7 linked regions of the Oryzias latipes genome follow. The main gene of each other region encodes a partner of the protein of the gene in region 2 in a complex. Links are inferred from orthologs where the notes say so. Each region holds a gene or a part of one and is shown on either strand. Other genes may lie near its edges.

Evidence for each region.
Region 1: sf3b5 (region 2) and bud13 share a complex: the UniProt entries of both Homo sapiens proteins name them as parts of the minor spliceosome. The link is inferred for Oryzias latipes from reciprocal best matches to the Homo sapiens genes SF3B5 and BUD13.
Region 3: sf3b5 (region 2) and ddx46 share a complex: the UniProt entries of both Homo sapiens proteins name them as parts of the 17S U2 SnRNP complex. The link is inferred for Oryzias latipes from reciprocal best matches to the Homo sapiens genes SF3B5 and DDX46.
Region 4: sf3b5 (region 2) and plrg1 share a complex: the UniProt entries of both Homo sapiens proteins name them as parts of the minor spliceosome. The link is inferred for Oryzias latipes from reciprocal best matches to the Homo sapiens genes SF3B5 and PLRG1.
Region 5: sf3b5 (region 2) and scnm1 share a complex: the UniProt entries of both Homo sapiens proteins name them as parts of the minor spliceosome. The link is inferred for Oryzias latipes from reciprocal best matches to the Homo sapiens genes SF3B5 and SCNM1.
Region 6: sf3b5 (region 2) and snip1 share a complex: the UniProt entries of both Homo sapiens proteins name them as parts of the minor spliceosome. The link is inferred for Oryzias latipes from reciprocal best matches to the Homo sapiens genes SF3B5 and SNIP1.
Region 7: sf3b5 (region 2) and sf3a1 share a complex: the UniProt entries of both Homo sapiens proteins name them as parts of the 17S U2 SnRNP complex. The link is inferred for Oryzias latipes from reciprocal best matches to the Homo sapiens genes SF3B5 and SF3A1.

What each region holds. Positions count from the first base shown.
Region 1 is NC_019872.2:13,070,039-13,074,212, forward strand, and holds the start of bud13 (BUD13 homolog), read right to left. Parts: upstream 2,801-4,174; 5' UTR 2,772-2,800; coding exon 2,635-2,771; intron 2,494-2,634; coding exon 2,406-2,493; intron 2,005-2,405; coding exon 1,920-2,004; intron 1,843-1,919; coding exon 1,444-1,842; intron 1,141-1,443; coding exon 836-1,140; intron 752-835; coding exon 643-751; intron 491-642; coding exon 352-490; intron 271-351; coding exon 89-270; intron 1-88. Other genes in the region: uncharacterized protein LOC101171185, read right to left, coding at 4,047-4,144. UniProt on the Homo sapiens protein: Involved in pre-mRNA splicing as component of the activated spliceosome. As a component of the minor spliceosome, involved in the splicing of U12-type introns in pre-mRNAs.
Region 2 is NC_019873.2:17,221,611-17,225,759, forward strand, and holds the start of sf3b5 (splicing factor 3B subunit 5), read right to left. Parts: upstream 2,801-4,149; 5' UTR 2,676-2,800; intron 802-2,675; 5' UTR 777-801; coding exon 516-776; 3' UTR 1-515. UniProt on the Homo sapiens protein: Component of the 17S U2 SnRNP complex of the spliceosome, a large ribonucleoprotein complex that removes introns from transcribed pre-mRNAs.
Region 3 is NC_019872.2:3,750,681-3,754,712, forward strand, and holds the start of ddx46 (probable ATP-dependent RNA helicase DDX46), read right to left. Parts: upstream 2,801-4,032; 5' UTR 2,690-2,800; coding exon 2,667-2,689; intron 2,460-2,666; coding exon 2,292-2,459; intron 1,561-2,291; coding exon 1,435-1,560; intron 998-1,434; coding exon 910-997; intron 839-909; coding exon 667-838; intron 567-666; coding exon 325-566; intron 198-324; coding exon 87-197; intron 1-86. UniProt on the Homo sapiens protein: Component of the 17S U2 SnRNP complex of the spliceosome, a large ribonucleoprotein complex that removes introns from transcribed pre-mRNAs.
Region 4 is NC_019859.2:20,801,112-20,805,183, reverse strand, and holds the start of plrg1 (pleiotropic regulator 1), read right to left. Parts: upstream 2,801-4,072; 5' UTR 2,652-2,800; coding exon 2,643-2,651; intron 2,461-2,642; coding exon 2,354-2,460; intron 2,055-2,353; coding exon 1,918-2,054; intron 1,823-1,917; coding exon 1,769-1,822; intron 1,682-1,768; coding exon 1,588-1,681; intron 1,493-1,587; coding exon 1,411-1,492; intron 1,327-1,410; coding exon 1,228-1,326; intron 1,122-1,227; coding exon 1,029-1,121; intron 839-1,028; coding exon 689-838; intron 541-688; coding exon 439-540; intron 1-438. UniProt on the Homo sapiens protein: Involved in pre-mRNA splicing as component of the spliceosome. Component of the PRP19-CDC5L complex that forms an integral part of the spliceosome and is required for activating pre-mRNA splicing.
Region 5 is NC_019874.2:27,122,062-27,126,205, forward strand, and holds the start of scnm1 (sodium channel modifier 1), read right to left. Parts: upstream 2,801-4,144; 5' UTR 2,709-2,800; coding exon 2,658-2,708; intron 2,439-2,657; coding exon 2,368-2,438; intron 2,295-2,367; coding exon 2,206-2,294; intron 1,787-2,205; coding exon 1,695-1,786; intron 967-1,694; coding exon 866-966; intron 775-865; coding exon 647-774; intron 554-646; coding exon 442-553; intron 1-441. Other genes in the region: lysmd1 (lysM and putative peptidoglycan-binding domain-containing protein 1), read left to right, coding at 3,522-3,704, 3,898-4,144. UniProt on the Homo sapiens protein: As a component of the minor spliceosome, involved in the splicing of U12-type introns in pre-mRNAs. Plays a role in the regulation of primary cilia length and Hedgehog signaling.
Region 6 is NC_019874.2:23,603,914-23,607,984, forward strand, and holds the start of snip1 (smad nuclear-interacting protein 1), read right to left. Parts: upstream 2,801-4,071; 5' UTR 2,673-2,800; coding exon of another isoform or gene 2,602-2,672; 5' UTR 2,497-2,601; coding exon 2,357-2,496; intron 1-2,356. Other genes in the region: dnali1 (axonemal dynein light intermediate polypeptide 1), read left to right, coding at 2,924-3,004, 3,211-3,323, 3,875-4,044. UniProt on the Homo sapiens protein: Required for pre-mRNA splicing as component of the spliceosome. As a component of the minor spliceosome, involved in the splicing of U12-type introns in pre-mRNAs. Down-regulates NF-kappa-B signaling by competing with RELA for CREBBP/EP300 binding.
Region 7 is NC_019867.2:18,886,040-18,890,299, forward strand, and holds the start of sf3a1 (splicing factor 3A subunit 1), read right to left. Parts: upstream 2,801-4,260; 5' UTR 2,778-2,800; intron 2,667-2,777; 5' UTR 2,625-2,666; coding exon 2,577-2,624; intron 2,085-2,576; coding exon 1,975-2,084; intron 1,893-1,974; coding exon 1,688-1,892; intron 1,614-1,687; coding exon 1,356-1,613; intron 1,272-1,355; coding exon 1,197-1,271; intron 1,132-1,196; coding exon 981-1,131; intron 901-980; coding exon 704-900; intron 600-703; coding exon 482-599; intron 378-481; coding exon 70-377; intron 1-69. Other genes in the region: ccdc157 (coiled-coil domain-containing protein 157), read left to right, coding at 2,801-3,165, 3,303-3,453, 3,542-4,229. UniProt on the Homo sapiens protein: Component of the 17S U2 SnRNP complex of the spliceosome, a large ribonucleoprotein complex that removes introns from transcribed pre-mRNAs.

The sequences.
Region 1 (4,174 bases), on a different chromosome or scaffold from region 2:
CTGTACTTGAAGTACTAATGCCCAAATTTTTCCATCAGAAGAGTAAAAAAAAAAAAAAAAGTACAAAAACTTGTAGAATGTTTCAAACCTTGTGTTTTTGAGCTTTTTTCCTTTTTCCGCCGAAGCATGGCAGCCATGGGATCCCCGTCCCTCTCCTGCTCCCTCAACATGCGGTCCAGATCTTCGTCGTCACGGTGACGGGCCAAGGGCTTCTGGGCTTCCAGCAGGGCGTCCTCCAGCTTCTGCTGCTCCATCTGATTCTGAGCCAGCCTAAACACAAACAATAACTTGTCTTCTTACATGTGGTGGAAGTAGCATTTTCAGTGACTTGGTATGGTTTTGTGGATTTACCCTTTACCCCACTGGGCATATTTTTCATCTTTTGCAGCCTTTTCTCCTGCTTTTCTCTTCTGCTCCTCCCTTTCTGAGGTCAAATCCCTCCTTTTGCCACTTTTGTCTCGGAAGACCGTCTCCGCATTACGAGATTCATCTGATGCGTAAATAGTATAAATAGTATAAAAACACTTTCATATACCGGTACTTCAGAAATATAGAAAGTCTAAAGTTATACGATAAGAAAAGGGTTGTTTCAAACTCTCTTTTTTTTTAAAAGTAAAACTGAAAAACAAAAGCAAGGCCAACCTTCAAGAGGTTGATTCTTTTTTTCTCTGCGTCGGTTTTCCTTTTGCTCTTCCCTTAGAATCTCCACAGATACCAAACCAGCCTTTCCTCCGGAAAGCATCCTGTGGTCCTGAAAAACACACAAAAATATTAGATGGGGTTTGTGCTGCAAATTAGGTTTCACACGAATCCCTGAACAGCGCAGATCCCTCACATGAGACTGGCCAGGTCTCCGTGGTGGTGACAGATCTCCATCCGAGTCCTTTCCACTCCTCGAGTGCTTTCTTGGTGGAGACTGGTCGGAATCGGATCTCTGCCTTGTTCTGGAGCGTCTCCGAGGGGGAGACTGGTCAGAGTCGGAAGCTTCTCGCTTCGATTGCTTTTTCCGTGGAGGAGATTGATCGGAGTCTGAATCCAGCCTAACCTTAGTCTTATGAGCTAAAGGAGACCGCCGATCATCTGGCGACCTTGGTTTACCGTGTAACGATGAGCTGGGCTTCCTTCTAGTGGGAGAAGACTCTGAGAATCAAAGAGAATGTTTGCACTATATATATTAGAGTGCAGAGAGCAAAACTAGTAATCCTAATATGAAATAGAAAAAAATAAATGTGTTTTACATAAACATTTTATTGTGTCAATATAACTATTGATATTTTTAGTAACTACTATAACCCAAAAATCTAAGAGGTTCCAGCTTTAAGCTTATTCAATGCTTAAATGGCATTGGTATGCCGTTTTCAGCTTTTTCAGTGACTTGTGCAAAATGAGCATTGTTCTGTATAAAAGCAAGAAAGAAAATCTTAACTGTAAAATAAAACTCACCTTTACTTTTAACTTTCCCAGACTTCCTTAAATGTTGCCTTGAAGGAGACTTGCTGGGAGAGTCATGGCGTCCTCTGCTAGGAGGAGATTTATCCGGAGAGTCATGGCGTCCTCTCCTAGGAGGAGATTTATCCGGAGAGTCATGGCGTCCTCTCCTGGGAGGGGATTTATCCGGAGAGTCATGGCGTCCTCTCCTGGGAGGGGATTTATCCGGAGAGTCATGGCGTCCTCTCCTAGGAGGAGAAATGTCTGGAGAGTCGTGTCTTGGTTTTTTGAAAGGGGAACCATGTCTCCCACTTTTCGATGACAGCTCTGGTGAGTCATGCCGACTTTTTTTAGATGTTAAAGGCTCCTCCTGCTCATTTTCTTCGTCAATTGTTTTGTCTTCGTCTTCATCCGCTACAGAACAACACAGTTAATATGAAAAACAACATAATTTAAAAGAAGCCAAATTTATATACTGCTTTTATAGTTACCCCCAACTATTTTCCATCTGTTACTGGTCCTAAAGGCCTCCATCTGTTTCACCTCTTCTGGCCGCTCATCGATGAACTCTGCAATCTGAGAAGGTAAATCAAAGTACAAAATTTAGGTTTCCTTGGCTTTAAAACTTTAATGTACATAACATAGACCAAATCAAATCATTATTTACTCTGTTCAAACATCTGTGTTGACTGCTTCACACACAATGCAAGTTTCCCACATATTTCATTCAAACCAATGTGTCAAATCTATCTTGCATCGATTATCCTGCATTAAAGCAGATCAATTCAATCTCACGTCAGATGAAATTCCTGTGTTACGTCTGGATTTACATTTCAATAATGTTAACAAAAAAGAAAGACATACATTTTATTATCATCAAATCAAATATCGCCATCAGACTTTCATGCGTGTAAAAGTTAAACATAGTAGACCGTACTGCGGGGGAAATGCTAACGCAAGGCTGCTAGCTAACTCACCACCGGAGCTTCCTCTTCATCCTCTTCGACATCCGGCTGCTGTTGGACCATTTGTCTCCAATCAATATCATCGTCTACTATTTTAAGTCTAGATAAAAACAACGAAGTAACACAAAATAAAAACGATTAAACTCATAGAAACAAAGTTCCAAATCAAAAATAGCTTAGCATAAGGAAACTAGCTTGGATGCTAACAGAAAGCCAAACGGCGCAGTATTTCGGTACTCACCTTGTTTCAGGAAGCTTTTTTCGTTTCTTCTTGCCTTTTCCTTTAGATGCACCATGGTTGTCGTCAGCTGATAAATACCGCTTTAAGTACTCAGCTTTAGAAAGCTCGGGTCCGGTTCCACCACCGACCGCTGCCATCTTTGTATTGTGGGAAACTACGGGTCGCGTCAAGGGTCAATGTAGACGACGAGGAAGAAGACGCGTTTCTGTATTATTATTATTATTATTATTATTATTATTATTATTATTATTATTATTATTATTATTATTATTATTGTTATTATTGTTATTATTATTATTATTATTATTATTATTATTATTATTATTATTATTATTATTATTATAACAAAAAAGTTACTGTTATGCATAAATAAATACATTGAAGATAAAGTTGACTCCAAAGAAGTTAAAAATGATAACTACTGGGCCACAATCTGCTGCAAGACTGTGTCTGTGGTGGGACCCAGTGACTGGCATACAAATAATGACTGTCACCAAAAAGGCTAAAATTGCCTGATTTCCCTAATTGACCCACAAATTTAGTCGGTCATACACCGATGCCTAGAAAGACAGGAGAGCAATGTTTTTGAATTGTAAAAGTCTTTACTCTTCTTTGCATACGATTTCAATTCTTGTTCTTATTTTTTTATTTGTCGATCATTTTTTTTACACTAAAACTTTTTCAAAAATATAGGCCGTCACTACTTGCTTTTTATAACAGAGACAAAAAGACCTAAATATTGTCCCTGTTACATGTCATGTCCAATATGTAGAGACAGATTAAATGTCATGGGTTATTGTTTATCTAAGACAGTAATAACCAGCTGCTGGTCTAGTATGATTTCCATGAATGACAATGCATTTAGGCTCCATTGAGAAAATGTGACATTTCCAAATACTGGTATTTATCTGTCAACAGTGTTCTTTGATTTATGATTTAAAAAAAACAACAAAAACAAACAAACACACAAAACAATTATATTTGTTCAATCATAAATGAAATGATTACAAGCAAATTCACAGAGCTCTTCTTTTATTAACAAGCAAACAAGAACACAATCAATTTGCTGCTTTTGCAGTGAGGAAAAGGCCACAAAAACTATTAGTGCTTTTTAATGTAAAAGAAAAGAAAACATAAAATCAATAATACCTCATTAATAAGTCAGCAACTGCATCTCTTAGTCTGCCATTAGACTGTCTCCCTCGACGAAAAAGCTGCACTTTCATTTCTACTAATGGTTAATTTACATTCAGTACTCACAGCTCTCAGCTCCTAAACATTTAAATCGTCTACAGTGGAAACATTTACCAGTGTTTTTTACAGAAGGAAGAGAGATCTATTCTGTGACAGAAGCGAAAGTGCTTAGCTTAGTGAGTATCTGCAAAAGCCTGACTGTTCTCTTCTCAGTGCCATCAGCTGTCATTGTGATGAAGGAAAAAGACCAGGCAGCCAATCAAGAACCAGGATCTCTGCAGAAACACGCTCACTGCTGAGCATGGCACCAGGGAATCTGTAAAGAGGGAAATTATTGAAGCACACC
Region 2 (4,149 bases):
AAAAAACAAAATCATATATTTTAAGCAAAAACAAAACCACTGCTATAGCCATTGCTGCTCCTTCAACAAAGTCCTAAGGATGACTTTGGTCTTTTTCTTTTTACAATAAAACGTCTTGTTTGGATGATTTATTCATTTAAACGTTCTCACTTTTTTAAATGCGTTTTAGAAAACTGACATATTTCCAGAATAAAATGATCAGTGAAAGAGCTTAACCAAAGGAAAAATAATGTTTTCATTAGAAATACAACAGTTCAACATTGTGCACATATTGGACATTTTTAACATTTTCTGAAATGGATAAGTTCAGGTGTCGTCATTCTCATTCGTTTCCTGAAAGCACTACAGTTAATGTATTCACCGATCAAACAAGTGAGAATAGCTTCAGTGAACACATGAATACCAGATTTTACTGGCTGCTCTGACCTCAAGGTTAGAAACAAACAACCGTCCAAAACTGAAAAAAAGAAAAGGTAAGAGGGAAAAAAAGCTGCAGCAGTTGGTTGGGCTGTGTTTTATGCATCATCGGGTTTGTCTGCAGGTGGTCCACATGGCTGAAGCATCTTCTCCATCAAGTTGAAGCGAACACGAGCTTTGCTTTCATTTTCAGCGATGGAAAAGTAGTTGAGCAGGTCAAAATGACCCATGTAGGAGCAATAAGAGTCACGGTGCTGGTTCACCAGCCATTCCCATTTGGTAGTGTCAGCATGCCCTGTTCCGATGTACTTGGACTGGAGATGCTCCAGCTGACTGTGGATATTGTATCGGTCAGTCATTCTCTCTGAGATCAGTCAACAGGCTCTGGGAGAAAGAAAGTAAATCAGAGATTTGAATTGTGCTTCAGCAAACAGACGATCCAGTCAGATAAACTCATAAACAAGAAGGTTTTAGTTATTCTTGTGACATTTGTGAGGAAAATTACAATTCAAAGATAAAAACAAAATAATTTGAAGGAAAAAAAAACTCAAAATAATGCCTTTTTTATATTATATGGTGGTACATGTAAATAAATTAAACCTTTAAGAAGCAAATGTTATAAACATGGCTAATGGTAAATACACTTCACAAGCCTATAAAATTCTATTATGTGTCTCTCCAATGAGTGGGGAGCATCTGAAAGTAAAGATTACCACATCCAACTGCTAAACTTCAAATATATCAATGAATGTCAGTTATACCATGGTCCAGGTGAATGCTCCATTCTGATTGGCTGCTGAGTGGGGATTAAGTAAGGGATAGTCACCAACAAAGTATACGTTGCCAGAAATTAACGCACGCCGTGGAAACCCAAACTGCCCGATGCTTCCGTTGATTATTAGTGCGTTGATTATCCTGCTTTTACCATGGTCACTTACAAAACAAATACATTTTCAATCAGTTTTTAGTCATTTATTCTTGTTATTTTTTCGGTTTACGTTGCTTTTTTCAAAAAAAGCGGACTTTTTGCAACATGGTGTGGCGTGTTGTCACGTTACCGTAACATGACAACACGCTGAGCTGGCACCGACCTCCACTGCAGCAGTAAAAGCCATAAATAAGCTGATCGTCATGATGGTGTATGTTAAATTAAAGCATCAGTTCAGAATGAAGGTTCACCGCTCACCGCTTGTTTTTATCCAGATGATGAAACAAATGTCTGTTTTAAAAAAGCCGGCGCAGTGACACAGAACATCTAAGCAATGTAACTGGAACTTCTTTTTTTAGACGTGCGGTTATCACTTTTTTAATGCACACTCAGCAGCCAATCAGAATTGAGTATTCACCCGTACCATGGTATAATTTCTGATAATGGACACCTCAAAGGTCATTATCCGTCTTTTAACGGACGACAAGGAAGCTTAAACTGTCAAGACACCTTGTCAGCTATTATCCTTTACTTACCCAGCATCCCCACAAAAATCTTATAGGACACATTGAACACATACCCATTCACCAGTCTATTATTAAACTAGTGTAGAAGTAGAATAATTATTAAATTACTATACTTTGCAGTGGTGTGTATAAACATCAAAATAAAATATTCAGTAAAAACAAAAATATTAATAAACCGTAGAGTTGAATGTCTAATACAGACTTTTCCCCTTATGTTTCTTACGTCCCTTTTCTCCAGATCATATGCAGTTTACTTTGACATAATGAAATACAAAAGCTTTGTTTTGTTGTTTGCACACCAACAAATTCTGTATTTCTTAGATTATCATCCCTTTCAATAACATGAAACAAGTTTTGAATTAGTGTGACAAATTAAAAACAAAGGCATGACTGATTTGTTAGAATTACAGGAAAACGACGGATTTCTCACAGCTATGCAGATTTGAACCTTTTAGCCTAGCTAAACTGCTAGAAATTCTGGTCTTAAGGAAAGGACTCCTCGGAGAGTCAATGGATAATTTTCCCATGAGGAAAATCAATATAATGCACAACTACCAGAAATTAAATAAAATCGTGTCATACTTTATTGCAGATATTTACCATTTATGGTATATGACCGTTTTTGAAAGCACGACTATCCCTTTAAAACAAAGTTACATTTTACTTTGTTAGCTTGATCCTATATCATTAGCCTGGGTCTCGGCTAATAACCTATTTAAACTCCTGAACTTTAGTTTCTCTCGTAGCCAGCGGTGCAACTTCCATGTGGCCATCGATGATATACATATAAAAGGTCAACTTACTTGAAAAGCGCGGGTTTGAAAAACAGGTGAAGCTTGAAAAAGATGATAAAAACTGCGTCCGTCCGAACACACCGCGACGAGCAGAAGCTGGCTTCCGGTTTGCCTTCGACTTAACAAACCGGTGAGAAACCGAGACGGTGTTTTTTTTGTTCCGACTTTTTATTCCTAACGCGATGGTAAAGGTGGACACCAAAGTGAACGACATATAAAACCTCATTTTATGGAAAGGTGAAAGGCAAGTCAAATATTCTGTATCTATTCCTTTTTTTTTTTTTTTTTACAATGATAATTATATATATTCTTGGTCATAAACAGGTTAGGAACAATATTTTTAGATCTGAAAACAGTTTCAGGTTTTCGGTTTTAAAACAGCAGGCATTTAATGAATGTCAACTGTAGTGGACACCAGGACCATTTTAATCTATTTAATGGCTACACATTATTTTTAGGTGAAAGAAGTGAAGCTGAGAGGATTCTGTACCAGATAGTCGAAGGTTGATTCATATTTGGAGCTTTCGGATGATGAAAAGGATGAGGAGGGTGAGATTCAGTCTGTGATAGGTGATGATGAAGATGAAGAAGATGATAATTCAGGAGAATCTGATGAGTCAGAGAAGGTGCAGCAAAGTCTTCGTGCTCTGTGGACCAGGACTAACTTGCATGTTTTATTTAGTTTCAGGCTAATGTCTTACATTTTATGACCATGTTAGAACATTGTAGTGTTTGTACTATGTTTAAATGGAAAAAAAAAAAACTGCTTTTTTTATTAACTTGATTTTTTTTGTGTTTTTTAAACGTACATCATCACAGGTTTACACCTGTGCTAGCAGGGCGCCCCGCTCAAGATGACCCCAAAGTTTGTGAATACTGGAGTCCAATCTCGTACTTTTCACAGTACATCGATAACAATATTTTCGAGGATCATCTAATGTTTTTTGGGTGAATATCACTCTAAAGATTTAATCTGCTCCTTTTTTCTGATTTTCCAAATTGATCTCTATTTTCACAGAAATATCATCCTGTTGTCTTCTATCTACAATAAAAAATATTTTTAAAAAAATTAAAATTGTTAGGTGTTCTAGGCCTAAATAGATAGGAAATCACATAAAAACAGGAATTGTAAGACACTTTTTTTCCTCGGTTCTCAGGAGGTTGAATGTTTTTTTAAATTTTTACATTAAAGTTTTACATTAGACAGGAATGGTCTGATGGTTTTCAGATGTCAGTATGTGACCAGTGGCCATGTATTCACGTGTGCAAAAAACCCTGCTTCGTCAGTATTACTAAATGTGCTACATAAATCAAGTAAAGTTACAATATTTTTCAGTGATTCCAATATTTTATAATTTCTTTCATGCTATTTATGACACAGAATAAGAAACAGAACAACCTCGTTCCTTTTTTTTTTTTAAAAGAAGCTCCATTTTAAAGGAAGAACATCACTAAAGTTTATAAATAATGCATGTTCTGCTGC
Region 3 (4,032 bases), on a different chromosome or scaffold from region 2:
CTCACAGCAGGAGAATTGTGGCCGTTTATTTCCAGCACAGTCATCGTTTGGAGAAAGGCTGCAGAAAGCAGCTAAAGGCGACCCACCTCCATGGCATCCTGGTCATTCTCCATCAGCTCGCCCTTCTTCTTGTGAGTGCCGGCTCCTTTTTTGGTTTTGACGACTGTCACAACTTTAGTTACCATCATCGCCCCTTTCTGTGGGAAAAAAAGAAAACAAATATCACCAACAGAAGAAGAAAAACAGACGCCAAACGGAAACAGCGTCTTATCCAACAGCAAAATATAAATAAGAAAAATGTTAGCGTGAAAACACTTTACTCACTTTGTCATTTCCCTTCATGTCACTCATGTTGAACTTCTTCACCTCCTGCTTCACCTCCTCCATGTAAGCATCCAAAGGATCCACTTCGTCCTCCTCCGCCTGCTGCTCCATGGGAGTCTCCTTCTCCTGGTCTCCATCCTCCTTCTTTTCCTCCTCTATCTCCTTTTCTTTTCCTTCTTCTTTCCCGTCTGCACTGTCGTCGTCCTCTACCTCCATTACCGCCGAGTTTTCCTCATCATCATCTGAAAGGAAAAGTTTATGATGAGCAACTATCAAAATCCCCTGAACTGGTGAAGAGATAAGTCAGCTGTTGGAGAGTCAAACAAAAATGTGAATCCTCACCTTCATCGTCCTCCAAGCTCCACTTTTTACCCTGCTTCATTTCCTCCAGCTCCTTCTTGATCTCTCCAATGTTTTCAATTGCTTTCTTCCTCTGCTCCTCCCTCCACTTCTCCACTCGCTCCTTCCTTTTCCTCATCTCCTCCTCCAGTTTGTTCTGGTCAAAGTCTTGCTGCTAAGATGAAAGGATGCTATGCTCATCTGCTGCTACATATTTCAAACAAACATTTTTCTGCAGGTACTTACATCCTCCGTCTTCTCATCCTCTTTCTCCTCTTTCACTTTTTTCTTCTCTGATAGGGGATCAACACTGTCTTTCTCTTTGCTTTTAGGCCTGTGAGTCAACATTAAAAAAATAAGCATATACAGCTATTTAATGTTAACAATATAGAGTTTGAGTGAAACTTTGTGATTACATGAAATTGTAGATCTAGTAATAATTTCTTAGGTTATTACAGTTTTCTTCTCAATTTGACAATCATTATGTTTAATGGATTCAATGTGTTGTAAGTGCACTGTGTGTTTAAGTGCAGATATGTCCATTTAGGAATAGTAGCCATCATTTTCCTTCTTTTATGGATGAATTTATATATGATATAAAATAGATTTGATCCATCTGTTTTTTTTTTGTCCCTTTTTCCTGTGTTTTTATTGCTGAAATGAACCAAAATCAAATCAATTAATCCATTTTGAATTTAGGTTCAGAAACATACATGAATTTGTTCATTTTGTCTGTAGACAGAAGGTCTTCAGTAGTCTAAAACTTCTCACTTTTCATCGTTCGTTTTTTTGCTCTTTCCTGCGCTGCCGGACCGGGACCTGCGGGCTCGACTCCTGCTGGACGACCTCTTTCTGTCGCGGCTCCTGGACCTCCTCCTGTCTCTGCTTCGGGAGCGCCTAGACACCAAAGGAAACCAGAGAACAGACGGGGGAAAATAAGATATCAGTCCGAGATTTCAGCACTTTACTAACCTGCATAAACTGAACAGACTTCACACTCCTGGTGTGGGATTTATATTCAGGATTACTGTTTAGCGATTCTCAATATTAATTCCTCAAATATTTCAAATGTTTTTTAATGAAAAACGTGCACTAAATTGTAATACTTGATCTGTGATACGATATGGTTTCCAGAACAATGTTGTCTTCTTACATAATGAATATGGACTTTACCTTTGTTTGATAGTATTAATACTTATGGATTTATGTTAAAGGCCTATAATTGTGTTTGTTAAGTAAAATAACTGATCTGAAGTTAAGAACCGGTTATTGATCATTTATGTAAAAAATTAAAAAGTTAGGTAAAGCAAAATAGGGTTGAGATTAAATGTTTGTTTCCTCCCACTCCCTTTAAAGCAAATAAACTCCTTTAGACAAACCTGATATTTATTTTTTTCTGTGCGTGTTGTGTTCTGTAAGCATTAGAGCTAACATGTCTGTTTATGATTTGGAGTAATTATAATTTATTACATGTGTATGAGAGTTTGATATGTTTCTGTATGAATATTTCTGTTTTGATTCCTTGAAATAAACCATTTATTTCCAAACCCAAATCCAAAAGGACCCCTCACATTGAACTGACCGTAAATCCTCCTTTCACTGCTCCAGGTTTAACTCACAACACTCACCTGGCTCGTTTTCGGTCTCTGGATCGGGACCTCCGACGGTCGCGGCTCCGTGACCTGTCCCTCCTGCTTCGGTCTCGGTCATCTTTTTTGGAGGACCGTTTTTCGGGGGACCGACTCTTCGATCGGGAACCTGACCGTCCACGAGACGCCGAGCGTTTCCTATAATGCCTGAACCGAAAAAATATAGTTGTCCTTTAACGTTTAACTATTTCAGAACTGTTATAGAAGAAGCACGCACAATGCATTTGCTACGGACAAAAACATAATCTTTAGCTAGCATGCTAATGCTAGCCACTCAAATCAACGCTACTTTAAAATTTAAAGTCAGCTTTTATCAATGAAAATAAAAAAGTAAATATTTAAGAGGTTACTTACGCATACCTTGACTCACGAGCCATTCTGATGTAATCAATGTAGCCTACTTAAGATTAGTGAAATGCTGCTCGATGGAACAGGACTCAAGCGATGCACCAACGTCTAAATCGGCCTAAGTCAGACAACTTCACGACTGAATCTTTTATGGCGCCGCCCTGTGGACGGAGGGCGAACAGGTCCGGAAGTGCAACACAATCATTTTTTGAAATAAACTTTATTAACAAATATTGCATATACACAGAGTATCAAACACTGACAAAAATATCAAATATCAAACACTATGCGCAAATGACAAAATGTTCACATTGCCAGGAAAATGAACAAAAATGTAAAAATAATAATGGCAAAATAAAATAGGTTAGAAAAATAATGATAAAACAAAATTATTATTTGTAAAGGATTTCAAATGTGACCATGTTTAAACTAATCTAACAGCTGTTTTGTAAGTGCATGATTCAATATTTACATACAGAATAGTGCAACACAATCATGCTATGCACTTAAAACAAACATGACCATCCAATGTGCTATATTTATATTACATTTGAGAATCTATTACTGGTTTGCAACTGATAAATTAAAAATAGGCTAAATCACTCTGTTAATCTGCCTCTTTAATAATGTATAAACAGCAATGAACTTTCTATATAGGAACAAAAGACTTTCTATTTACATCCTTGGCATTTGCTAGGTAAAAAAGAAATGTGCCTGATTTTTGATTGCTTTAATTTTCAATTTAAAAAAACCTGTAATATGATGCAGGTAATAAGGATTTCGAATCACTTTTGGTTGTTATTGAACATGATTGTGAGTGTTTGAGACTGTACACTAAAAGTAAGAACCCAAATTCAAGCTGCTCTTGGCTAAATCTTAGAATTGTAAATGAATTTGAACTTTTTTTTATTAAATCTGATTTTTACAGACGCCCCCCCCCCCCCCCCCCCCAAACATTTACCAGCAATAAAAAGAGAAAACAAACCGTCAATTTATTTTAAAAACAAAACACAAACCTGTATTTTAAACACAGTTTTTATTTGGTATGAACCAACCGCATCAGAGCGGACACAATATTACAATCAGCCTTGATGTTTTATTTATTTAATTCACAGATTCATTTACAGGAAAATAAACACACACAACAATAAATTAACTTATTTGAAGTTCTAGTAGAGTTTGAGGCTTGACATGACCCTGGAGAAACGTGCTGCAAGCGCTTTATAAAAACTTTGAGTCTCGCAGCAAAGCAGAACATGTCACAAAAAAAACCAAACACAAATATGCTCACAAAACTCCCTCTCACTACACAACGGAAGATTTAGGTCTAAATCTTAACACAACTTTGAGTTTATACACATTTCTATAAATG
Region 4 (4,072 bases), on a different chromosome or scaffold from region 2:
AAATATTGGCATTAAAAAAAAGAAATTTCCTTTCCAGGGACTAATTGTAGAATTCCTAATTCTAACAATTATAGTCTGACTTCCTTGTTTTTGCCACGATTTCAGACCCTCATGGTGTATTTTGGATAAACGAGGAATGTTTTTCTTTTTTGGATCAGTGTCCTTAAATTGAACTTTTGTTTACAGGGGCGTTTACATTTGTTCATACACAAAAGAACTCAAAAGTGTTTTGCTTTCTCCAAAAACCCCAACTATGGTTCCTATGATAAAACAAAAACAATTTTTTTCTGCAGCTCTAGACATTTGAGCAGGATTATTTTTAATACATCTGTATTTATTTATTTAAAGATCTGAGCTTTGTCACTTCTTGTCTGTCATGTAGGATTTTTCTTCCATGTGTGACATATATAAAGAGTAATGAGTGGATTCCGATCTTACCCTCGCTGTGGCATCTCTGCTGCACGTCATCAAGACATCAATAGTTGGATGAAGGTCCAAATCATACACAGCACTGAGGTGGCCATGATAGTGCCGGATTACCTAAAACACAAAATACTCATGTCACTAAAACACCAAAACTCTGACGTATGAAGAAAAAGAAAGAAATGACTGAACTTTTTGTCTTTGTTTATATTCAAACAGCCCTAAAATGTTTTTTTTTAGAGATATTGTGAAGAGAAGCTTGTACCTTGTTGTACTCTAGATCCCAGCATTTGACTTGCTTATCCTCTCCGCAGGAGAAAAGGTACGGACTGCGGCTGCTCACCGCCACTCCACGCACTGTACTGATGTGTCCAGTCAGAGACAGTTTCAGCTTCCCACTGGCCAGGTCCCAGATCTGAAGGAAAAAGCAAGTCTCATGATATCCTTTCCCTGTAACAAAACACTCCTGGTTCTTTTTTTTTTTGCTGTTCCACCTCAACAAATGCAAAAAGGAGAAGAAAAAAAGCTTTGTAGTGTAAAAACAGTATAAAAACAATCAGAACAACGTATTGTATAAATAAAATAAAAAATAGAGAAGAGATAACCTTTATTGTTCTATCTGCAGATCCTGTCACAAACCACTGATTTCCAGGCTCCACAGCGATGGACCTGACCCAGCCCAGGTGGCCGCTGATGACCTGTCAGGTGACAAAAACCTTTTTAGTAATCACGTGAGATGTTGCTTCCCCTCCGTCACCGGATTTGACACAACTGAAAAGGAGTTCAAGGATAATTTGCAGTTACTCTAAAGAGTTTCCAGGGAGGATGCCACTGCGGTTTGGGCATGACCGGCGTTCTCCTCAAGAGGTTGGAATTTCTGGTGCCGCCTCCTTCCAAGAGCAGCTGCAACGAACAGATTGTTGCGTTAGAATTTTGTCAACCAAGACTGGGTGAGAAAAAAAAGCGCTTAAGAAGCTTGTGATGTACCAGAGCGGTGGACTGAGCGTGAGCTCTTTCTGCTCCACGACGGATCTCTGCAACTGTGGCTGCAGTGCGGCTGGACTCTTGTCTAAAACAGCCATCAGAAGACAAAAAATAGATATATCAATGAATCCCGAAAAGTTGATTCAGTACTATTTGTATTGATTGACTGAACAGGATTACCTTGCTTGTGATGGTGGTAAAGCCAGAGCCAAGGAGTGGATTCCTGACTCACTGGGGTTTCTGTGCACTTTTGTGTCAGCTGTCAGGGCGACTCCTGTTGGGTTAAAGACATAGATAATAAAAAGCTGGCTAAAAAAATGAATAAAGTTCCTTTAAGCTTGGCTAAAAGGAAAGTATTTACCAGGTCCAGAGGGATAAGCGTGCGTTCCCGTGATCAGATATTCAGGATCATCTGCTGAAGTTGTCGGAAACCAAAGACAAACAAGAAAAAAAAGTCAGATTTTTACAATTTAAAACCAAAAACACTGAACGGTGATGCTTCCCACTCACCCGGCTGCATGTAAGCTTCGTTGTCGTGGAGACCGTCTGGATACTGTGACATCCTGTCCTTTCCTTCTTTTAGCACTGGCATGTGTAACACAGGACTGTAGTCTGCCTTTAGCTTCACGGCCAACTTCAACTTGTGGCTTAAAACGAAAAAAAAAAAGAGGAGCTTCAACGCAAACCCACCCGTGTGCCCACGTGAAGTGGAAACATATAGACAAACCATCTCCAAGTGCCAAAGATGTTTATAATCAAAACATGAAAAAATATATTTTCTCCCAATGCATGCCTAAAAGGTTAAAGTAACCCTTTTGATGTGAACTATTGCATAATAAACTAATAAACATATTATGAACGCACGATTAGCATGACCGTGAGTTTTAACTAAAGTGATGATACACATTTTAAATACAGAAGTCATAAATGTAAAAGCTCAGTATACCTTTCATCATCTAAAGCGACGGCTTTAGCATGGTCAGCCACGAACATGTCATGAGTCCTTTTCAAGGATCTGAAGACCAAAGTGTGGACTGAGTGTTTCTGGACTTCCTGTAACAATTAGAAGGAAAAAAAAGTTTACTTGAAAGACGAGTCCATGTGATTTATCAGGGGGGATACACTACAACGTGTGAAGATTCAGAACGTTAACATCCAGTAGTTAGACGGGTCCAGTGCTGTGTGAGTCTAAAGCGTGGACCAAAGAAAATCAAATAACTCAAATAAAGTCTCACCTCGGTCATTGTGGCGATAATAAAGATTGATATCACACTGCAGTTAAGTAGTTTTCGGTGAATATAATCCACGAACACCGTAGGTGTAGCAAAGCGACAAAAACAGTCCACCGCCGCGACAAACGAGTCTGCATGACCCGGAAGTACAACAGCCTGAAAGGCTAAAAGATTTATTTTATGAGCGCCCTCTGGCGGTACGTCTCATCCCAGCGTCTCACAGTGGCGGAGATTATGTTTTTCTATTATCAAGCCCCCATTTTTCGCAATTTCTCCGGGACGTTTTGAAATACATATACATATTTTAGGGGGTTTCAACATTTTTTTTAATTATTCAGTAAAAAGGCAAATTTAAACAGTTCTGTGCCGTTTACACATTTGGTGCAGAAATAAATTAAGGGTTCATATAAAAAAATAATAATAAAAAATAAAACATTTTGTTTTTGATGTGAAAAAGAACTAGTGTCTGGGAATTACTTATTCCCCTTTGCTAATGACCATTCTTCCAGCCTCTCATACATGTAGGCTGGACACTACTGAGTCTGCTCTATTTAGAAGTTCACAATTGTTGATTTTATCCACAAGTTGGTTTGATTTGTTTTAGTTTATTAATCTTTTGCTGTTAAATTTCCCTTTTAAACCAATTTTATTATTTATTAAATATTGTTTTAATAAAAAGGTTTCACAAAAAAAGCAATGAACTCATTTATTAAGAGATGAAATAATTTACAGTAAATATTTCAAAGGAAAATTTGATTTGGATAAATTCCTGCAACAACCAAAGCAGCCTGAAAATAGTACAATCATCTAATCTTATATAATTGGATTCCAGTTATTTCTTGGTTGTCAATGTATTATTAGTGCTCTGAAGATACATTTTCAGGTTTTTCTTCAGTTCTTGCTGTCCTTATCTATGCTTGTAATTTCATTTTCTACCTCCTGCCTTTGATTTCAGTGGTTCACAGCACAGTTGATTTTCATCAAAGACCTGAAAATTGTGTTTTCTGTGTTTTTAACATGTTCTTCAGCCATTTTTCTCATGATGGAGGACATTTATAAAGAAAATTTAGCTGCAAATTGCATTTCGGAGTATTTCTTTATTCAAATGTAAATCAGGAGCAGATAAAAAAATACTGTTTGAAAAAGGTTGCATTTGATATGCAGAAAATACCCTAGGTGGGTCAGAAGCTTCCTGCTCTGTGCTTTGGGGAAGGGGGGCAGGATTGCTCCACACCAACAGTCCTGCCCACAACTCAGAGGTGATTTTCTAATGACTTACTGTTGCACTGCAGAAACTATGTCTTAGAAAACGATACGTTTTTCAATTTGTGCCAAAAAGTGGCACAATTAAAAAGCACAGGGAACGCTTTTCTAATAGATCAAAAGACGATCAGAGTGGAACTTTAAGCGTTCTGTGTTCATAGGGCCTCTTG
Region 5 (4,144 bases), on a different chromosome or scaffold from region 2:
TGATAAACTTTCACAATTATGAATTTATTATCTCAACCTTCCATACGTTTATTGAAGAACTTTGTTAAGATTTGGTGGATTTATTACTTTATTTGTTGATAGGCGTGCCATTTGTTTATGTCAGGATTGGACGCAGATGTTTTAAAATGTCAAGTCTTGTGTACATCCCATATATTTGTTACCCTATAAATCACAATGTACAGAAATGGTGCAAACACAAATAAATGAGTGAGAGAACAAATCAAGGAAGCAGAATAATTTCAACGGGCCGCATGTGAAGATGCTGGAGAGGAGCTGGGTGTGGAGCCTGAGGCAGAGGACTTCACTCATTTTATCAGTTTACTGCTTGGACTGTTAAGCTAAGAGTTTCTAAAACATAGTTTCTGTGGCCTGCAGATTCAATCTAGCACTGGTGACAAAAAGGAAAAGAGAGTTTTGCACCTTTTCAGTTTGAGGTAGTGCTCCATCTCTCTTCGCCTCTGCGGCGTTATGAGTTCTGCCGTTTGTCTCGACTCAGACTGACACTGAATTCTGTCTTTGGATGAACAAGACTCTACAAAAATAAAAATAAAAGCATCAGTTGAAACAGAACCATCAGTTATTTTAAATAAAATATCAAAATATGATTTCTAGGAGCAGATTTTACCTGTGAAACAATCACTAGAATCACTTGTGGATGCATTGTCAGAAACTTCTGGTTTCCAACATGCAGATGGGAAATTGTGTTGAAATGTGTTTCCAGCAGTGCTCGACTGTCCTTTATTCAACTTTGTACTGAAAATAAATAAATAAACAGATATATGTTCACATCTTTACTTCCATTTTAAACTACAGATGAGTATTTTAACCTTAAATGATGACCAACCTGGTTTTTCTGTGGCAGCTGTTGTATGGAACAGTCTTCAGAAGAGCATGATGGGTAAGTTTCCGGGTCTGTGCCAGTAAAGGTGCCGAACTGGAGGGCTCCTGCAATCACAACAAAAGAGACTTGTCTCTCAGACTGAGCTCTGACAGACTCCAACTCAGCTAAATGCTCCATGTGTCCTCTGGCCGGCTCTGCTCATGTTTTCCACCAGCAGACACCCGCTTCAACTCACGCTGCAGAGTCTACAGGTTGTCTGAGTCACGTGGCAGCCACAAGCACGTACTGGATGTCACACAAGAATACGACTTATTCTTATATCCATATTTAACATGTTACAAGCAGCGACATAATATCTTTACAGGAGTACAGGAGGTGCATCCTTTCTACAACTGTCATTCCAAAACAAGTCAATAAAGTACTATAATTCAGCAACAATAAAAATTTAACCACAATAACACTAAGTATTTAGTCGTCTCTGTAAAAACGGTCGGTCGGTCGGTCGGTCGGTCGGTCATCACACGGTCATCATGTCATTGTTTCGTGTGATGGTCGGTCGGTCGGTCATCATGTCATTGTTTCGTGTGATGGTCGGTCGGTCGGTCATCATGTCATTGTTTCGTGTGATGGTCGGTCGGTCGGTCATCATGTCATTGTTTCGTGTGATGGTCGGTCGGTCGGTCGGTCGGTCGGTCGGTCGGTCGGTACGTCGGTCGGTCGGTACGTCGGTCGGTCGGTCGGTCGGTACGTCGGTCGGTCGGTCGGTCGGTCGGTCGGTCGGTCAAAATACAAAATTACCCGCAGGTAAAATGATCAAGTTGAAGCTCCAAACCTCTTTGTCTTCTGCTCTGACATAATCTTCATGTTTTCTTTTTGCAATTTCATTCTTGAACTTTGACTTTTTCCCATAAAAGGATTTTAAACCTAAAACACAAAACAAAAAAACACAACGGATATAAAAGCATGCACCAAAAGCACATGCATAATAAAACTTTATTTAAAAAATAAGAAAACATATATGACATATTTACATGTCACACCCATTCTGGAGTGACATTTACATCCATTTTCTACCAATACTCTGTTATGTAGCATTAATGTCGGAAAACAACGAACGTCAGGCGAATGATGCTCACACCTCCTGTCATTAGTGCCTTAATATGACACACCTGTTACATCAACAACACAGAAGATCTGTTTGGGGCCAAATGTGCAAACACTATCTGAGAGAAATGAGCCTACAGTGTTTTGTCTACATCTAAATATGACCACCAAGACACTTTTATACTGGGGAATTTAAAAATTTTCCACACTAAGAGTCACTTTTTAAGGAGGATATTTACCTTCTAAATGCTTCTTCCCTTGCCTGTGGACTGTCAACATGTCAACTGTGTCAAACACTGGGCGATACGAACACACAAGGCACGTGTACCTGTGTGGAGCGAACGCAGAAAGGTGAGTTACTTTCACAACAAAACTGACACTTAGGGTTTAGTTATATTCACCTGCCATTACTCAGAAGAGCAGCTTCATCTTCCGGAATAAAATTGGACAAAAGGTCAGATACACGCCGTTTCTGTAAACCAACAGCCCAAATCATCAGTAAGTATTTCATAGCAGATGAAAAATTTACATTAAATACTTTACCAAACAGTTTTCATTTACTCTGTGTACATTATATCCATATGAAACTTGCTACTAGCTAAGCTAGCAAAACAAATAAAAAACGACAGCGTATGAACTTTAAGAAAGCCTATTCTTTTATGAATACAATGTATTATATCATTTTAAATACCTTTAAAATATTAAGTTGGCTCCCATCATTTCCTTCCCTTTTGAATGACATAATTATATCGAAGTAAATCAATGGTATAAACACCAGATTAACGGCTAGCTCAATGAGTTAACTCATTGGGCTAGCTTCTCTATACGTCACACTATCCCGGAAGTGTTGGTAGTGCTGCATTCAGGGACAAACATGTACACTTTTTTTGTCCACGATTTCCAGCTAACCACGTTGCAGTTTCCCATCGTACCATTTCATTTATTTATGGTCAAGTTAACTAGTCTAACAAACCATTGTTAAAATATTATTTTACATTTAAATTGATTTGTTTGCATGTACTCTTAAGAAAGCATCGATGTGAAATGTTTATAACATCACATATTTTTTGTAAATAAATCGCGAAGGGGAAAAAAACTGCCTATTTTAATCAATGAAATTTTAATTCATACTAAACAAACTCTGATTAAAATAAAAAAAATAAAAATGTTATGTTTTCATTTAAATTTCAGTATTCAAATTACTTTGAACACAACCCACCCAATGAGAGCCGTCATTCACAGCGGCAGCCATGGCAACAGACTGCAGCTGACTGAAAAAAACAACATATTTAAAGTTTTTAGATATGTTTTTAGATTGTTTACTGACAGTTAAGCTATGTTTAAGGTGTTTTAAGTAGTTTTTCTTCAATTCCCGACTGTTGATAAGGTTCAGGCAGTGCCATTTCGGCACTTTGGCAAGAAGAAGATGAATTAGTCGATACTTTAGCAGCTAGCAGGTGAACTGGGCTTGCTAGTTTAGGACGACGTCAAACCAGTTCCAACATTAAAATTGCGTACGTGTTACTGATGATTTTCACATAAATAATTATCGGATATGTCCGGACAACGAGCGGCTTTGCCATCCGGGAGAGGCGGTCTTCTTCGCGGAAGCCGAGCTATGTCGTACGGCAGCTTGATGCGATCGTCGCCGGCGTCTCCGGTCCGCCAGAGACACGTTGAACACACGGTTCAGTCCGGAGACACGCTCCAAGGTCTGGCCCTGAAGTATGGAGTCTCTGTAAGTATAATAAACCAGATTTGTACTCCCTACTTTAGACAATTAAAACAATTTGAAATATTAACAAGGAACATCTTTTGTTTCCACACTAAAAGTAAAATCTATTCATTGGTTTTATGTTATGACATAATTTTTTTTGATTCTGACATTTGTTAGTTTAAAAAAAAAACAACAACATTCTTCTGTCTTCCAGATGGAACAAATCAAGAGAGCAAATAGGCTTTACACCAACGACTCTATTTTCCTGAAGAAGTCTCTGTCGATCCCTGTTCTGTCAGACCTGAAAGGGATTCATTTGTCTGAGGACTGTGAAGAACAAAGTTCTCACGATGTCGTGGTTCAGAACGGGACAAACTTCTCTGAGAGGACAGACGATGATGGGAAAAGACCTTCAGACCTGAAACCTCTGGATTTTCTGAGAAGACTGGATGAAGGAATCA
Region 6 (4,071 bases), on a different chromosome or scaffold from region 2:
AACAGCAGAGAGTTCTGACCTGCAGACAACTTGACCTCAACTTTCACCGTCGCTGATATCAGCTGAAGAAGGATATGGACCTGAATCTAATGTCTGCAGTCATAACATCGAAGAGAACTATAAACTCTGTTTTGAACCCAGAAGTACGGCTGTTATCAGTTAAAGAAGAAAGACCAACCTTGGACAATCGACAGTTATGGACCCTTTTTACTTTCCCCCTACAGCATTACTTTATTATAAAAAAAATAATAATAAAAATACAAAAAAAATATTTAAAAAAGTAAAACAAATGATTAATGACTTATTGAAAATTGTTAAATTGATTGCCTTTTAATGATTTTATTTCACTTTCTCCAAAAATTGATAAATTGATTCAAAAATCTTTCCTAATGTAGCATAATTTTGCACATGTTTTTAACTTTTGATACTTGATGAAATTTTGCTATGAAAATTCCTGAAACAGTGTTGTGTCTACTTTACTGATATAGTATTATGTTTTATTCATATGAATGGCTTTTATAAGTAACATAATCTGCATATATTTCAGATGACTGATCTGCATTTGCCATGTTGATTTCTAAAATAGTTATTTTTGACGTAATACTTAAGTAATTCATCTTTGTCATGTGCTTTATCGATATCTTATGATTTTTAATTCTGTATGATATAAACTGGGAACCGGATATTGATAAATCATGTAATAAAATGGTTACAGTATAACGGGGTGGGATTATATAAATTCGCTTCCTTCCACTCCCTTTCAAGCAATATTTATTAATATGTATAATTATCCTAAGTTTGATTAGTTACTGTATGAATGTATAACTGATGATTATATTGCTGTTGTGTATTATTTCTACTTAATTGCTTGAAATAAACCATTTCAAATAAAAAAATAAATAAAATTGTTCTGGTTCTCTGTTGTCATCTATTGTTTGTATGTTTGTACCTTGAGCCTAACGCCGACGCTGCATCAACCCAATTTCCCAAGCTGGGATCAATAAAGTATATTTATCTTAAGATCATTTTGTAAGTGATATTCTTGATTCAAATGGAGAAATTCTTCAGTTAAGAGACTTCAAAGGTAAATATGATATTGAATGCTCAACCGAGGAATTTCAGAAAACCTGCTGAGCAATTCCAATTGCTTCAATACATTTAATAAAAAATACAATATTGTCTTCCTATGTTCAAATTAAACTACCAAATTTAGTAATAGGAGAAATAAAATTTAGTGAAAAAAAACGTGATAATAAATTGCTAAACAAATCCTTTAGAGGTAAATTATACCATGACTTTAACAGAAAAGTGAAATATAAAATAACTGAGACACCTGTCACATCAGATGCTCAACTATGGAAATTCATAAAATGGCCAGTGGTTCCCAAAATTAAAGAAATGCAGTTCAAAATTATAAACAATTATTACCCATCGGCAGAGACATTGAGAAGTAGATTTGGCTTTGAGGTTGATCCGTGTGATTTCTGTCAGGTAACCCCAGAAACAACCCAACACCTGTTTTTTTCATGTCCAGACCAGTGAAAGATTCTGGCAAGATTTTCATAATTGGCTTAGTCAAAAAATTAACAACATACAATTCACAGAAAAACATATTTTGTTTTAAAACAGTAAGTTGCCAAAAGAGCCAACAAATAGTGAACATCCTCCTGATTTTGGGAAAATATATTCATAAGCAAAAGTGGAAAAAAGATCGGCCGAATTTCCTGTGTTTTAAAAATGAAGTCAGATTGTATTTATCCTCATTGAAATGTATTCACAACTCAAATTCTTTCATTGATGACATTTGTAAATCTGCTACAGAATGGTTACAAATCTAGGGTCCAGATTGTTGATTGCCTTGTATTTTAATTTATGCTGATAGTTTTTTTTATATATGTATACATTCTTGTTTTTTTTTTATCTTTGTTTTTCGTGAAGAGCTGTGCCTTGCATCATTGTGTTGTTGTGTCTGCCAGAGTTTTGTAATGAGTATATTTCAATAAAAAAAAAAATTAAAGCAAATTTTATGTCTCTAGTCTAACCTTGATTTATCAGCAAGACGGTAATAAAATATCTTAGAACAATAAACAAGATTTACTTGATACGAGTCAGATACTTATACTACTTTTGACACAAACGTGTTAAGGATTATTTGATTTACAGAAACCTCAGATCAAAACTCTTTTGGAGCAACCGGGTATCCCTTACGTTAAGTGTTTATTCCGTAACCGTCAAAAATGAAAACCGGAAGCTAGATTTTCATCAGCGAAAGTACAACAAAAAAATAATGTTGTGAATTGTTTTATATTTAGACAGTTTTACGTCATGAATCGTAGTAAAACCTTCAGACATTTACCTGCTAGCTCGTCTCCCCTGTGGACTGCGTGATCTGTGTGGCCTGCTAGTGCTACTCGGGCTCAGTTTCTCCTGCTTTATCTTCACTTCGGGCTGCCGTTCTGGAGACTCCCTTCTTCTGTCTCGCTTTTCTTTAGTCATTTTAGTTTATTTTTCCAATAAATTTGAGCTCAATTCAACCAAAACACGACACAGTAGCTAGACAAAGACAAGCCAAGATAAAAAATAAAACCTTTGATGCGTTACCAAACTTCTGGCGTTGTGAAAACAAACTTCCGTTTCCGGTGACTCAAATTAATCCCCTCGACGTGCTCCATGTGCTCCCTATTGTTGGTTCCGCCATGGCCTAATTCGTTTTAAATGGGGAAAACGTGATGTTCAAGTTTTTTTTGTCATAGACTGAAGCATTGATGACACATATACGTGTCGTATTACATAAAAAGTATTCTTAAATGAAACTTTGTTCAAATCAATATTATTTTATTTTGAAAAAGTGTCGCCATGACAACACAAACAGTGAAACGGTATTTCTAACAAAACGTGTAACTTGCTCTCTCACCTCAAAACGATGACTTCTTTTGGCGAGTCCCTCTTGAAATACGATAATCCGATATTGGTAAAAACAAAAGGAGATAAAAAATCTCAAAAGGTAAGTCTTGATGGTTAATGATCTATTTAACTGGCGCCCAGAAACTATATCAATTAAGGCTAGAAATCTCATTGTACTTCCATAATTTCTTTATTGTGGACAATGAAAGGCTACCAAATAAAATCTTCAAAAATAATAAAAGAAATTACAAAAAAATAATAATACAAATAAATGTACAATTTTCCCCCCTTTTTTTTCGTTAATAGGGACGTACTCTAACGTTGAGCAACCTTCCAGCTCCCAGCTTTGCAGCAGGTGTTCCATCTCCCCCTACACAGAATTTGGATGAAAACATTTTGCATGCCATCTTACCACCTAGGTAAAAGAAAACCTCAAAAGCTCACCTAAGCACAACGATTCAGATTTATTTATTCTAGATTCATTATTATTTATTCTTCTTCCTAAGTTATGCAGACAAACATAGACTGTGGCATGCACCAGAGCACAATGACCATCCTCAACTTTTATTTCTCAAAAGTCAAATCTGGGAAATCAAATAAAATCAGGCTTTTTTTTTGTAAAACAGATGCTTTTCATGCCATGTAACTCAAAAAACTTTAAACAACACAGTGGAACAGCTACAGTTGGAACAAATGTAGTTTTTATGTGATCCAAAGATCACCAACAAATCCTAATGTCTAACAAGGAAAAGAGGAAAGGTCCTGTAGCTCAGTGAATGTCCAACTTTCATCAACTTAAAAAGATCAAGTCTTGACAGCAAATATTGCCCACAGGTGCATTATCACACATACGTCTGCTTTTTACTTAATTCAAAAATAAAAAGCTGACACACAATCTAAGATCCCGAAAGCATCCAAAAGTTACTGTCAAATGATTTTCCAAGTAAATTCTGATTTCTTACCATTACAGAGAATGGACAGAGGGGGACCAACAGTGGGTGCAGAAAGTATCTACAGCCATTACCACGAGGAAAGATGTCATTCATCTGCAGGAGCAGCTGAACATAAAGCTAAAGCAGAAAAAGGCCAAACCAACTGGCATCTGCCCCATCCGCTGGGTTCTGTTTTCCCAGTGTTTCGGTAAGACAGCGGAGGGTCGGGACAAAG
Region 7 (4,260 bases), on a different chromosome or scaffold from region 2:
CAGGTTGATAAAAAAACGAGTTCAAATGATGCTTTTCACAAAAACCATGCTACTTTCTACGGAACTCACCTTCTCCTCTGGCTTCTGGATTTCCTCTTCACCAATCTTCTTACCAATGGCTGTCTCTTCAACACCAAAGATATCAGTACGCCTCTCAGCGAGCTGCTTCAAGCTGCTCTCGATATCCAGACCAGGAGCATAGACTTCATCCTCTGTCTGTCTATCCCTGATGCTGCGGTCTCTTTGTTCCAGCCAGCGTGGGTCCAGCAGACCAATGCGCATGTGCTCCTGCATCTTGCTGGCTGGGATCTTCTCACCAGTGATTGGTGAAATGAGGTACTCATCTGGAGCTGCAACTGAGGGCATAGGCTTGGAGGCTGTGAAAAAAAAAAAAAAAAAAGGAAACAAGTTTTAATGCACCGCTTGTTTTATTTGCTTGTTTTTATACTTCATAATATTTCAATCACAGAAAAAAATGTACCTTTGGGATCATAGTCTTTTCGAATGATGACGTGGTCTGGAGTCGGGGGCAGAGGAGGTGGCATGGGGTTGTCAGGTGGAAGTGGAGCTTTAATTCCATCGTCCTCATCATCTGATCCCTGGAGAAGTAGCATTTTAAATTTGTGAATTTGCTACACAAGTAACCAAGAAACCTAGACAAGTGTTGGACTTTGTATAAATGTAGTAAATGATAACTGTTTACCTCATCCATGTCCTGCACTTGTGTGTCTTGGTCAGGCTGTGAGGGTTGACCTCCGGCTCGTTTCTCCCGTTCATCCTCTTCATCCTCACTCTCAACTTCCATCTCCACCTCCTCACTTTCTCCATACTTCTCATAGCGCTCCTGGATGAGGATTCGAGCACCAAGCTCCTCTGGAGTGGTAGGTGGGGGGAAGTGGCCTTGGAAAAACACCAAATGAATAAATTAATAACTATGGTTCTTGCAACATCTGGACCTGGTGTTCCTATAGTCATGCTACCTTGTTCATTGGGCTGGAAGTCCACAGTCTCCACCACGACAAAGTCATGCCAGTCAATTTGAGCATAGGCTACGCGTTCCTTCTCTCGCTCCTCTTCCTCCTTCTTTCTCTCACGCTCCTGGTACTTTGCCCACTCAACACGGTATCTCACCTGATGTTTGTAACAAGACAGTTTTAAACATAGAAAATAATCTTCTGAAGGCTAAAATAAATTACCTGGTCCATAACCTCCTTTGGATTCTCAGCCTCTCTCTTTAGTTTGGCCAGCAGACCCTTTGGGGGGATCAGAATCTAAAGGTTGAGGCAACATTTAAAAAAGTTCAATAACACAGTTTCAATAAAAAAACAAAGAAAGCTGTAATTTTTGTCCTTTACCTTGGTATATTGTTCCACCAGTTTTGTGAAGTAGTTGAAAAGGCTGTGCTGGGGTCTCAAAAAGTCAAATTGGTAGTTCCTCTGTTCTTTTTGCATGAGCTGGGTGAGAAACTGACGGCCGTTTCGTGCAACAAACTGGGCAGTGAGCTTCACAACATCAAGATCGAATGCAGAGATTGATGGAGGATCAGCTATGAATTCAAACTCTGGAGGCGGTTCTTTGGGGACCACAGTTTCCTGAATCACCTGGGACTGCACCTGATGAAGAAAAGGCAAGTTTGTATAAATATAAACCCTTGTAGGTCCGGGCACAGTAAATAGACAGTCCTTACTTTTTGTGGAAGCTGCTGAGATTGCTGCATAGCCTGCTGCATAACCTTGGGCACTGCGGCGGACGGTTCTTGAGCTTTGCCCTCCTTAAACTCATTGACTTTGTGGCGGTAGTAAGCATGGTAGGGATCGTTGGGGTTGAGGAAATTAAATTTTGGATTGTTGATCTCATTCTGACGGATTCTTGCTTCAAACTCAGGCCCATTCCTGTAAAGTGACAAGTATAGAGTCAAACTACAGATAGCAAACACCTCTTACAGCTGTACGTGACAGTTCTTTGGCAACCAACCTGGCAACAAAGCTCGCAGTCTTGTCAACTATATTACGGACCTCAGGAGGAGGATATATGATGCCAACAATAGGTTTAGTGGCTGGAGTTTCCTCCGGAGGTGTATCATTCTGACAAGAGAAGGTTCAAAGTAAGAATATTTATATTTAAAAATAACATCAAGTACAGTGAAGTTCCTCCTTAAAAATATTATTACACAAACATTATCAATTCACTTATTAATTAATAAGACTTACTTTAGGTAATTCTAAGATACACTGCAACAATTTAAACATTAAACCACTCGATCATTAAAAACCTGAGAATACAACTAACACATTTAGTCTAAACCATATGCAAAGATACCAAATATTGAAGTGCAATCATAGTTTAAGTAATATCTGTTACCTAATTTTATTGACTTTCTCAACTTGGGAATTTTTAGGGCCACACATATAGACGCAAACGTTGCCCCATATGTTTTACAGCTTTATAAACATTAGCATTTAATTTTGGACAGGCTTAGAAAGCTTTGCATAAAGGGGGCGAATTTTATAAGGCGATAAATCATTAAGAAAAGCGACGGATATCTGAGGCTAATGTTAGCTAGTTAGCGTCCTTACCTTGTTGTTAGGCTCAGGCTGAACCATTTGAACAGGCCCGGGCGGCATGGCTGCGTCTTTTTAACGAATCACCAATTTTACCTGAAAACACTAAAGCAACACACATATATTTTGAAATGAATTCTTTAAAAAAAATTCTGTAAGTCAAAAAGTAATAGCTAATACAGCTATAATTCTTTATTTGTCGACGTTAATACTCACCGCGTCTCGTTTTCGTTAACGCAATGGCGGCCAATTACTTCCGGAAATATCCGCTAAGAACTGTGGGACTTGGAGTTAACTGTTGCCAAGGAGACCTCACGTCAACAAGTACTTATAGGCGCCAAATAAGCGTTTTAGACATGAGTTTGTTGTTGGGTCGTCAGGATTCTATCAAGAATCTAAGAAAAGACCTCATCGATATTCAGGGTGCGGTTCTGGACGTGCTCTCCAGAACAGGACCAGTCTGCGCTTCCTCCTGGAAATTCCCGGACAAACTTTCCTGTCATCTAGACATTGTTGCTTTGTTGGAGGAATATGACTTCGTGGCAGGAGAAGATGACTTCAATCAGCATTCCCACATTATTCTCCTGGAATTGATGATTGACAGGTAACCTAATGTTGTATTGCATGTAAAATATATATATATATATATATATATATATATATATATATATATATATATATATATATATATATATATAATGACTTTAAAAGCATCTCTGCATGTTCTTGTTCCCCAACAAGGCTCCTGTTTCTTCTTCAAAGCGTCAGCGTTTATGCTGAACAACAGATGGGGGTCCACAGACCAGAAGGAGCTGCACACAGAGGCAGCATGTCAGTTGGTCTTGTGGTCAGGAATTATTGGGGGGATTTACTTCAATTTGCAGATAAAAAGGTAAAGAAACCTCTTTTTCTAGTAATGCCACAGGGATAAAAACACATGCAAAAGTATTTGACTTTAAATGCCTTTTATGTCTTTTTAGGAACTCTTCAAAAACATTGCAGAAAAGACAAATTCAGTGGAATCTGATGAGTCAAACGTCGAGTCCCCTCTCAATAGATCCAGCACAAGTTGCTCCAGGCATTCTTCCATATCCTGGTCTTCCACAAGCTCATTTAAATTCCTCCCACAAAATAACATCACCATCAGTTCCCCCGAACAAACCTCATTCCATCCTAAAACTGCCTCCCATAATGTCAGCTGCCAGACTGCACAAACGTCCCTCATCCCTTGTGGTACATGTCACCAAGTGCAATCTCTTTTGAGAAAAACTGGAGAATCTTTGATAGATCTGTTTCAAAGTGAAGGTCTACCCTCATCTCTGCAGCCTCTCTCAGCAGTTGTGGATGAGACAGTGAGGGTGGGACATCTGACTCCAGGTGATGTTGCACAGTGGGCCAATGAACAGCTCAGAGACATGCGCAGGCTGGCAAAACACCTGCAGGATGTGAGGGGAACGGTACTGCCCCTCCAAGACAGAGTAGCAGCAGCTGAAACGGATCGTGAGGCCATCAGATCTCAACTAAAAACAGTGCAGAAGGATTTTGAACAACAACTAGAAAAACAGCAAACAAATATAGAACAACTGGAGTTTTCACTGCAGGAAGCACAGAGAAGCGCAAAGCAAACTGAACAAAAGCAACAGGAGGAGCATAAACAGCTTAAAAAAGGTATTAATCACATTAACCAGCACAATAAAAA